Linked DNA regions of Saccharomyces cerevisiae S288C. The gene in region 1 interacts genetically with each later gene. Each region holds a gene or a part of one and is shown in the gene's direction. Other genes may lie near its edges. The genes, in order: CLB5, KIN3 and MCK1.

Region 1 (3,760 bases):
CCAGATGTTTACCTTAATTTCTTGGTGAATTAGAGAAGTACAGAAGTTTTACTATTAATCCCACCATAGAAATTTGTATAGGAAAGTAGTTTATTGGAGTTATTGGATATACTGTGTAAACTATTTCTTGAAATTGTAATCTTAAGATGCTCTTCTTATTCTATTAAAAATAGAAAATGATTTTCATATTTATTTATTTATTTATATTTTGGCATTACTCTTCATCATTTTTTTCCCTCTAAGAAGCTTCCTTTCTTTTTATAAGGATAACAAAACCAAAAGGAATATTGGGTCAGATGAATGGACGCGAATGCAAGACAGAAGTCCAAATCACGTCAAGACAAAGAAAGAAAGAAAGAAAAACTAACACATTAATGTAGTTTTAAAATTTCAAATCCGAACAACAGAGCATAGGGTTTCGCAAACAAACTTAAATATATGCTAGAATAAAAATTAACTATCATCTATTGACTAGTATTCATATATGACGTAATAAAATGAAATGTAGATTCATTTTGTAGATTCCTATATCCTCAGAGAGAATTTTTGGTATATCCTATATGCATAATATTATAGTCTTTGCCAACAATCGAAACCAAACATATATCTTAAAATACACCACTTTCTCAAATAAATTCGTTAAATAACGGTGTGTTGAAATGTTTACCGTAACTTGTAACAGCTCTAACAACTCATACCTGCTATGTACTGATTCCAAGAAAAAAAAAATGGAAGGTCGGGATGAGCATATACAAGCACTAAGAAGAACAATACAGAACTCTACACGGTATTATTGTGCTACAAGCTCGAGTAAAACCGAGTGTTTTGACGATACTAACGTTGTTAAGAAAGTAACTTGTTATCAAACTCATTACCAACTTGTGATTAATTGGTGAATAATATGATAATTGTCGAAATTCCATTGTTGGTAAAGCCTATAATATTATGTATACAGATTATACTAGAAATTCTCTCGAGAATATAAGAATCCCCAAAATTGAATCGGTATTTCTACATACTAATATTACCATTACTTCTCCTTTCGTTTTATATGTTTCATTCCTATTACATTATCGATCTTTGCATTTCAGCTTCCATTATATTTGATGTCTGTTTTATGTCCCCACGTTACACCGCATGTGACAGTATACTAGTAACATGAGTGCTACCGAATAGATGACATTTTAGACTTTCATTCCAACAACTTGGTTGACAGAATGTTACGTACCCTATATCTAATCTATATGAGGCCTGAATCTAACTGAAAGGTGGAATTTCAGTAATTTATCAAGCTTTAATAAGTTTGGGTAGTTTAACTGTGCAAAAAGGTATTTACCTTACATACTGAATCTTGTCTGTTTGGTAGCGGCTGCTTTATGGGTGTTTCATAGATGTCCAAAATATATTGAGATATTGAGATATAACATTCTAGGATAATCAAAATTACCATAATTCAAAAGCTCGTATGGCGCAGTGGTAGCGCAGCAGATTGCAAATCTGTTGGTCCTTAGTTCGATCCTGAGTGCGAGCTTTCTTTTTTAGACTACTAATTTTATTTTGCTAGTCATTTTTTTTTTATACTCAAAAAGTAAAAAGACTACGAGTATATTCAAAGTAAAAAACGAACGTCAAACTATCTCGATTAAAACTTGTCATACTGTGGGTATCATATTCTGTGCCCTCAGTGAAAAGAACCAGCAAAAGAACGCGCATCTCGAGTGAAGACGCGCCCTTGATGGTACAAAATTTAACGGGAAGGCGCGTCGTGATGTTCACGCGCTTTGCCCACATTGGGATAGCGCCCACAGCATATCTGTGCTAAACTCACTTTTCCTAGTGACTGCCGATAGCTACTGCCATCTACCGCGAAGGGAACTTCATTTGCGTTCATCGGTTTATTAGAAGCTACTTGGAACTAATTCTTAAGCTTCTCAAGAAAAGTTTTTTTTCTGTCTATCTATTGAAGTCTTTTTGTCTTTGTACTTCAAGAGACTCAATCACCTAAAGCTTTTCACGGCCAATTAGTTGTCTCACACAAAGCAAAATAAGCTTAATAATTAGCAGTAACGCGCTTTTCCCTGTATTTAAAGCCGCTGAACACCTTTACTGAACAATGGGAGAGAACCACGACCATGAGCAGAGTATTAAAAGAAATTCTATGATTTATAATGAAAATGAGAGGCAGTTGTGCAATTCAAACCTAAAGATTCTTCAAAATAAAAGGGCCCTTTCAAAAAATGACAGCTCTAGTAAGCAGCAGGTTCAGGATTCTAAACCAAGAAGGGCTTTAACAGATGTACCAGTGAACAATAATCCTTTAAGCCAGAACAAGAGAATAGTAGCAGGGAGCAAGGCGGCCAAAGTACGAAGAGAAGAAAACATTAGACCTATTGTTAGCGCCGTTCAAAAAAGACAGATATATAACGATCGAACGGCAGCAGAGCAAGAAGAAGAAGAAGAAGAAGAAGGAGAAGATGATGATGCTGCTTCGATAGTGAACAAAAAACGCAGAATAGACGCTGAAGGAGTGAGTGAAATAGTAGGCTGGCAGGACCTAGATTATGTTGAAAAAGATGATACTGCAATGGTAGCAGAATATTCTGCTGAAATTTTTGCATTTTTATATAGAAGAGAATTAGAAACGTTACCATCGCACAACTATTTACTCGACAAAACGTCCAAGTATTATTTGAGGCCTTCCATGAGAACAATATTAGTGGATTGGCTGGTAGAGGTGCACGAAAAATTTCAATGCTATCCGGAAACGTTATTCCTATCCATAAACTTAATGGATAGATTTTTAGCTAAAAATAAAGTTACGATGAACAAGTTACAATTATTGGCAGTTACCTCACTTTTCATCGCGGCAAAATTTGAAGAGGTAAATTTGCCCAAACTAGCTGAATACGCTTATATCACTGACGGCGCGGCTTCTAAAAACGACATAAAAAATGCGGAAATGTTCATGCTCACTTCCTTAGAATTCAACATTGGTTGGCCCAACCCACTCAATTTCCTAAGGAGGATCTCCAAGGCAGATGATTACGATCCGGTTAATAGAAATATTGGTAAGTTTATTTTAGAGTATGCCTACTGCTGCCACCAATTCATTCATTTACCTCCATCTACCGTAAGCGCAATGGCAATGTATATAGCGAGAAGAATGACCAACAGAAACAAGAACGAGCTATGGAATGGAACACTACAGCATTACAGTGGTGGTATCGATCCAATACACGATGAAGCGTTTCAGTCTCTCTGCATTGATCTAGTCAAAGACATCGCTAGTTCCAAAACTCATTTAGATTCATTGATTTTGAAGTACAAGAAACCAAGGTATGGCTCTGTTTATTTCCAAACTTTCAAGTGGTGTACATCCGAAATGCATAGCAACTTTCAAAATCTATTTAATCTTAAGTAGATTAGTACTAGTAATGCTCATGAATTCGCATACTCTTTACATTTTCTTTTCTTTTTGCTGAACTAAAAGGAAAAAATTTTTTGCATCTATCTATCTATCTATATATATGTATATATAGTTTATAGTGATATGCGTGTTCACTTCAACATATATAATACCACCAGTATTACTACTATTATCATCATTAATATTAGAATTTTTTTTGTTTTTAAATTTATTCTTTTATTTTTATTATTATTATTATCATTATTACTATTAAAAAATTATTATTATTAATGTTATTCCAATGTTAATTATAATAACTATACTGAAATAATTTTAAAAGAAATGAAAAATGAG
Region 2 (3,536 bases), on another chromosome or scaffold:
GTCTCCATCAAGGTCCCCTGTTCATTCTTTGATGGCAACGCGTCCCTCTTCTCCAATGCGACACAAGAGCATTTCAAACTTTCCCCATCTGACCATATCTTCAAAATCAAGACTACTAATTGAATTACCGGAGGGTTTCTTTACCTGGCTAACATCTTTTTTTGTTGACATGGCCCAAATCAAAGATTTATCTGTTTTAAAGTACTTCACCAAGCTTTGTTACCTTACAGTACATATAAACAGCACTTTTTTAAATGATCTGCTTGACAACGATGCTTTTTTTGCTTTTATCCGGAATATTGATACCATCATTCCCTTTATCGACGACGCAAAGACAGCAGCTTTCATTTGGAAACAAATCACTGCTATATGCGTTGAAATGAGTTTGGATATGGACCAAATGAGTGCTTCTTTATTTTCTACAGCTATGAATTTCATCAGAAAAAAGAATAACACCTCCATAAGTGGACTGGAGATCATACTGAACTGCTTGCATTTTACGTTACGCAATGTAAATGATGATGTGGCTCCTACAGTGGGCTCATCAGAGTCTCATAGTGTTTTCCTCATAAAGGTCAACAATGACGCTGCTATTGAATTACCGATTGATCAATTAGTTGACCTGTTTTATGCATTGAATGACGATGACGTTAACCTCAGTAAACTAATTAGCATTTTCACGAAGATATGCTCATTGCCCGGTTTTGAAAACCTTACAATTAATATCATATTTCACCCGAACTTTTATGAAAAGATTGTTTCTTTCTTTGATACCTATTTCAACAGTTTACTTATTCAAATCGATCTATTGAAATTCATAAAGCTAATATTCTCAAAATCGTTATTGAAGCTATATGACTACACAGGACAGCCGGATCCTATAAAGCAAACCGAACCAAATCGTCGTAATAAGGCCACTGTTTTCAAACTTCGTGCCATTTTAGTACAAATAACGGAGTTTTTAAACAACAACTGGAACAAGGATGTCCCAAAAAGGAATTCAAATCAAGTTGGGGGGGACTCAGTTTTGATCTGTCAGCTATGTGAGGATATCCGTTCATTATCAAAAAAAGGAAGCCTGCAAAAAGTTTCAAGCGTCACTGCAGCAATTGGTAGTTCTCCAACAAAAGATGAGCGTAGTAATTTGCGATCCTCCAAAGATAAAAGTGACGGCTTTTCCGTCCCCATTACAACATTTCAAACATAATGTAGGAATTGCATGTGCATACATACATATATAGAGAAATAATACAGCATTACATTAACACTATATATAGAATTGTGAACCTTCCAATACTGAAAACGCATCTGTTTGGAAAAGAGATCAGAAAAGTTTTTGAATTTAAAGAGGCCAGTAATGATAAAAAAGCATATACATATATATGCTTTTTTTCTTTTCTTTTTTTTTTCAATTGGGGATTAAATGTATGAACGACTCAAAGTGCATTTTGTTAAATGTTTCTAGCTATAGATCAATAAATCTGAAATACGATATCTGACATGATTGCAGTGGCACAGTCTTCCGATAGGTTACAGCCAAGTTTTTTTTTTAAGGTTTCTGAATTTTTTCATTACGTTTCCTAATTAGGTTAAACGTAAATAAAAGCGACTTTTCAAAAGAATATCAAATCATATAACATGAAAAGAGCAAGATTCACAATACTAATTTCAATGAGAGTGCTATTTGATAATTGAATCAATTCTCTGTGTGAGTATGCATAGACGACAGTTTTTCCAAGAATACCGTAGTCCTCAGCAGCAGCAGGGACACCCACCAAGGTCAGAATACCAAGTTCTCGAAGAAATTGGGAGAGGTTCATTTGGGTCTGTACGAAAAGTCATCCATATACCTACCAAGAAACTTTTGGTTAGAAAGGATATCAAATATGGCCATATGAATAGCAAAGAGAGACAACAGCTGATCGCTGAATGTAGCATTCTATCGCAGTTGAAGCATGAAAATATTGTAGAATTTTATAACTGGGACTTCGATGAACAAAAAGAAGTGTTATACCTTTATATGGAATATTGTTCCAGGGGTGATTTATCCCAGATGATTAAGCACTACAAACAGGAGCATAAATATATACCAGAAAAAATTGTGTGGGGTATCCTGGCCCAATTATTGACTGCGCTCTATAAATGTCATTATGGTGTTGAATTGCCAACTTTGACCACAATATATGACCGGATGAAACCACCGGTAAAAGGCAAAAACATCGTTATCCATCGTGATCTGAAACCAGGAAATATATTCTTAAGCTATGATGATAGCGATTACAATATTAATGAACAAGTAGACGGTCACGAGGAAGTGAATAGTAATTATTACAGAGACCATAGAGTGAATTCAGGGAAAAGGGGGAGCCCTATGGACTATAGTCAAGTTGTGGTAAAGTTAGGTGATTTTGGGTTAGCCAAATCTCTGGAAACTAGTATTCAATTTGCCACAACATACGTCGGTACACCATATTACATGTCGCCTGAAGTGTTGATGGACCAACCATACTCCCCACTATCCGACATCTGGTCACTAGGTTGTGTTATTTTTGAGATGTGTTCGTTGCACCCCCCATTTCAGGCAAAAAATTATCTCGAGCTACAAACTAAGATTAAAAACGGGAAATGTGACACCGTCCCTGAGTATTACTCTAGAGGGCTTAATGCCATAATACATTCAATGATAGATGTGAACTTAAGAACCAGGCCTTCCACTTTTGAATTACTGCAAGATATTCAGATACGAACTGCAAGAAAGTCGTTGCAATTAGAGAGATTTGAAAGGAAGTTACTGGACTATGAAAATGAGCTGACAAACATTGAAAAAATCCTCGAGAAGCAAGCTATTGAATACGAAAGAGAACTGAGTCAGTTGAAGGAACAATTTACCCAGGCAGTGGAGGAGCGAGCCAGGGAAGTAATTAGCGGTAAGAAAGTTGGTAAGGTTCCAGAATCTATAAACGGATATTATGGTAAAAAATTTGCCAAACCTGCATACCACTGGCAAACAAGATATCGATAAAATTTGCTCTGAGAACATTTATACATTAATACATACGGGTATGTATGAATCATATTCAGTGAGGAGTTACACTGGCGACTTGTAGTATATGTAAATCACGTTAGTGAGACCATTTAGACCCTGTCAATGTTTCATAAGCCTCTATATATTTGGCCCTTGTCCTGTCGACAATGTCTTGGGGCATTTTGACGCCGTTAACACCGTTCAACTTATTAGCAGTAAGCCAGTCTCTTAAAAATTGCTTATCGTAAGAATCTTGGGATTCTCCTACCTTATAAGAGGCACCGTTCCAGAATCTAGAGGAGTCTGGCGTTAGCACCTCGTCCACTAGAATAATTTCATTGGTCTTTTCGTCAATACCGAATTCGAATTTAGTGTCTGCGATGATGATGCCCTTCTCCTTAGCATAATCTTTGCACTTGGAGTACAGTTTTACAGCCAGTTCTGCCACTCTACGTGACAAATCTTCACCCACCAGCTCAGCGGCCTGGGCAGGAGAGATGTTTTCGTCATG
Region 3 (3,710 bases), on another chromosome or scaffold:
GGCCAGTTTGTCGTTCTGCTACTGGGCTAGCGTTTCCACTTCTTTGCAGAACTTTATCATGTCGCATATCGCCCTCTTCTACATCTGCATGGTGGTATCGCTAGTATCGTGCATTTGGCTGGCAGTAAGTCCTCGTCCCGAAGACTACGAGGCCAGTGTTCCCGAACCGTTGCTCACGGGCAGCAGCGAAGAGCCGGCACAAGAGCAAAGGCGTCTGCCTTGGTACGTCTTGTCCTCGTACAAGCAAAAGCTCACGCTGCTCTCCATTTTCACTCTTTCCGAGGCTTACTGTCTGTCGCTGGTAACCTTAGCGTACGATAAGGATACAGTACTTTCGGCTCTGCTGATCACCACCATCGTCGTAGTCGGCGTTTCCTTGACCGCACTATCAGAGAGATTCGAGAACGTGCTGAATTCCGCAACGTCAATATACTATTGGTTAAACTGGGGTCTATGGATTATGATCGGAATGGGTCTCACGGCCTTGCTTTTCGGCTGGAATACCCACTCTTCCAAGTTTAATCTGCTTTACGGCTGGCTTGGTGCCATTTTATTTACCGCGTATCTTTTCATCGATACGCAACTGATTTTTAGGAAAGTGTATCCTGATGAAGAAGTTAGATGCGCCATGATGCTTTACCTGGACATCGTCAATTTGTTTTTGTCTATTTTAAGGATTTTGGCCAACTCTAACGACGACAATTAAAAAAAGGGAAAAATCGAATTATTTACACGAATATATATATATTTCTTCTTCTTTTACATAGTTTATAATTCATACATAGTGGGAGCTGATCATAGTCTTCTCATCTTTGGTGATCTTACACCACCAAACTTCAATTTGGTGGCATCGCTGATCTTCACAACCTTTTTCACCACACTGGCCCCTTCCTTACCAACAAGAGCGGAAATAAAAGCAGCTCTGCCCTTCCCAAAGTCGTCCATCACCACTTCGATATCTTTGTTCAGCATGTTCTTTTCCTTAATCAATTCAAACATTCTACCACTGGTTTGAAATGCAGCTTCATACTCCCCTCTTGCTGCCTTCCTAAACCCTAAACAACCTGTAGATAGCGAAATCTTCACTTTCTGGGGTAAGTTCAAATAGTACAGCATTGTATCATTATACGTAAGTCCCTTATTCTTATGAAAGTTCTTGTCCTCCACAACGCTTGAAAATGTCAAATGCGTGTTATTTTTAGTAAACTTGCCATGTAGAATGTACTTAACTACTTCCTCTTTGGGCTTGTAAACCTCACTACTACCATTTGACTTTGTCAAAACTGAGTCAGAGGACGAAGGATACGAGATATTCGTGATATCCTCCTGATTTGAAATATCCTTAAATGAAAAAGGAACTCCTCTATTCGTGCCGGTAGAATTCCATCTTCTGATAGGCCTGACAAACTGCGTCCATCGGCAGCCTTTCCAAACAGGTTGTAACAGCATCACACGTAACTATAACAGTTCACACTGTCACTTTTTCTTTTCAGAAGAACCACTGCTTTCCACCTGATTTACTCTCATTTTGTCTTCCCTCTTTCCCAATTCATCGTTATTATGCCAAACAGTCACGAAGTACGAAACAAACACTCTCCGCTGCTATAGAAAGTTCCAATCTTAGGCTGAATAATGGAATACTAGTAGCTCAGTGATTATCATCATAATTGAAGCTATCATTAAAAAGCATGCAGCCATATTATGCAGGAATTATATGATCACACGTAGCTGTAGTGGCTTTCGAAAGCAGCATTCTTGCTTCCACTCAGTTCGTATGTAATGACAGTTCAGTGACCCACAAACAACACTGAAAAAAGCGACCTTCATATGCGGAAGAGGGCAGGCGTAACCTCCAAGGGAAAACGACATAGATTTCGCAAGTGAGTGCCATTGTGTCGTGTTAGTAGTGTGGGCAGGCCCGTAACGTGTTTATTGATAGGAGTTAAGCCCAAGACTACAGAGTTCTTTGCTTCATCTTTCAATTTTCTTTTTATTTTCCGAAACCCCCACTCCATCACATTCTAGTACATATGTCTACGGAAGAGCAGAATGGTGTTCCTCTGCAAAGGGGATCTGAATTCATTGCAGACGATGTAACCTCGAATAAATCGAACAACACGAGGCGGATGCTGGTGAAAGAGTACAGGAAAATCGGTAGAGGTGCCTTTGGGACTGTTGTACAAGCATATTTAACCCAGGATAAGAAAAACTGGTTGGGCCCCTTTGCAATTAAAAAAGTCCCTGCTCATACCGAGTACAAGTCCAGGGAATTACAGATTCTGAGGATTGCCGACCATCCAAATATCGTTAAATTGCAGTATTTCTTTACTCATTTGTCCCCGCAAGATAATAAAGTTTATCAACACCTTGCCATGGAATGCTTACCAGAAACTCTACAAATCGAGATTAATCGTTATGTGACAAACAAGCTAGAAATGCCATTAAAACATATCAGGCTATACACTTATCAGATTGCCCGCGGGATGCTTTATTTACACGGTCTTGGCGTTTGTCATCGTGATATCAAACCATCCAATGTTCTTGTAGACCCGGAAACCGGTGTCTTGAAAATCTGCGATTTTGGGTCTGCCAAAAAATTGGAACATAACCAGCCTTCAATTAGTTACATCTGTTCAAGATTTTATAGAGCGCCTGAATTGATCATTGGTTGTACCCAATATACCACCCAGATCGATATATGGGGGCTTGGTTGTGTCATGGGCGAGATGCTTATCGGCAAAGCCATATTTCAAGGTCAAGAACCCCTTCTACAGCTAAGGGAAATTGCTAAATTGTTAGGTCCTCCCGATAAAAGATTCATTTTCTTTTCGAATCCGGCCTACGATGGCCCTCTATTTTCCAAACCACTGTTCTCGGGCTCTTCGCAACAGAGGTTTGAGAAGTATTTTGGCCATTCCGGTCCAGATGGTATCGATCTTTTGATGAAAATATTGGTCTACGAACCACAACAAAGACTGTCTCCAAGAAGAATCCTTGCCCATCAGTTCTTTAATGAATTAAGGAATGATGACACTTTCTTACCAAGAGGTTTCACTGAACCAATCAAGCTACCAAATTTGTTTGATTTTAATGATTTTGAGTTACAAATTCTGGGTGAATTTGCTGATAAAATTAAACCTACGAAAGTTGCTGAATAATAATTTTCTATTAATTTGTTCTCTTTCCCCTCGGAAAATTTAATGAACAAAATACTATGATTTTTTTCACCTTTGATCCGCTGTTTATATTTCACTTGGAAAAGAAAAAAAATTTTTTGGAATAAAATATATTCAAATTTCCATTTGATATTATCATACACTTCTTTTATCCAGTCACTCCTTCAATTTCTTCTTTATTTTTTATTTTATGTTCCTAATTTTTTTTTATCTCTTTCCTATTTCCTGTTCTTTTATTAATCTGAAATATTATTATTACTTTAGTGTTAGTTTATAATTTTAATTAGGCCTACGTGGCTTGTAATAAATTGCCTCGCATGTTATCATTACTTATATAAAAGTATTATTGAAATACCGTCGTTATTTTTTGATATTTATGTGAGAAAAAAGTATTACCCGGAGGAGCCGCAAGGTCATCGGTTAAAATTTTTCAAATATATCAATCTCATCTCATCTAGTTAACAGAACCATTTCTTCAGAAAGCAAAATGCTCATAGTTTTCAACAACAGTGTGATATACCCTAAATTCAATGC

The links.
Region 2: mutations in CLB5 (region 1) and KIN3 together harm fitness more than expected from each alone (negative genetic interaction), as found in Saccharomyces cerevisiae (4 studies listed by BioGRID).
Region 3: mutations in CLB5 (region 1) and MCK1 together harm fitness more than expected from each alone (negative genetic interaction), as found in Saccharomyces cerevisiae (5 studies listed by BioGRID, with this or other methods).

Annotation. Positions count from the first base shown.
Region 1 is NC_001148.4:773,536-777,295, reverse strand, and holds CLB5 (B-type cyclin CLB5), read left to right. Parts: upstream 1-2,113; coding exon 2,114-3,421; downstream 3,422-3,760. UniProt on the Saccharomyces cerevisiae protein: Required for efficient progression through S phase and possibly for the normal progression through meiosis. Interacts with CDC28.
Region 2 is NC_001133.9:169,882-173,417, reverse strand, and holds KIN3 (serine/threonine protein kinase KIN3), read left to right. Parts: upstream 1-1,714; coding exon 1,715-3,022; downstream 3,023-3,536. Other genes in the region: serine/threonine protein kinase CDC15, read left to right, coding at 1-1,207; ADE1 (phosphoribosylaminoimidazolesuccinocarboxamide synthase), read right to left, coding at 3,123-3,536.
Region 3 is NC_001146.8:55,894-59,603, reverse strand, and holds MCK1 (serine/threonine/tyrosine protein kinase MCK1), read left to right. Parts: upstream 1-2,030; coding exon 2,031-3,158; downstream 3,159-3,710. Other genes in the region: BXI1 (Bxi1p), read left to right, coding at 1-706; mitochondrial 37S ribosomal protein uS11m MRPS18, read right to left, coding at 796-1,449; KRI1 (Kri1p), read left to right, coding at 3,707-3,710. UniProt on the Saccharomyces cerevisiae protein: May be an autophosphorylating tyrosine kinase, a bifunctional (serine/tyrosine-specific) protein kinase, or a serine kinase that is a substrate for an associated tyrosine kinase.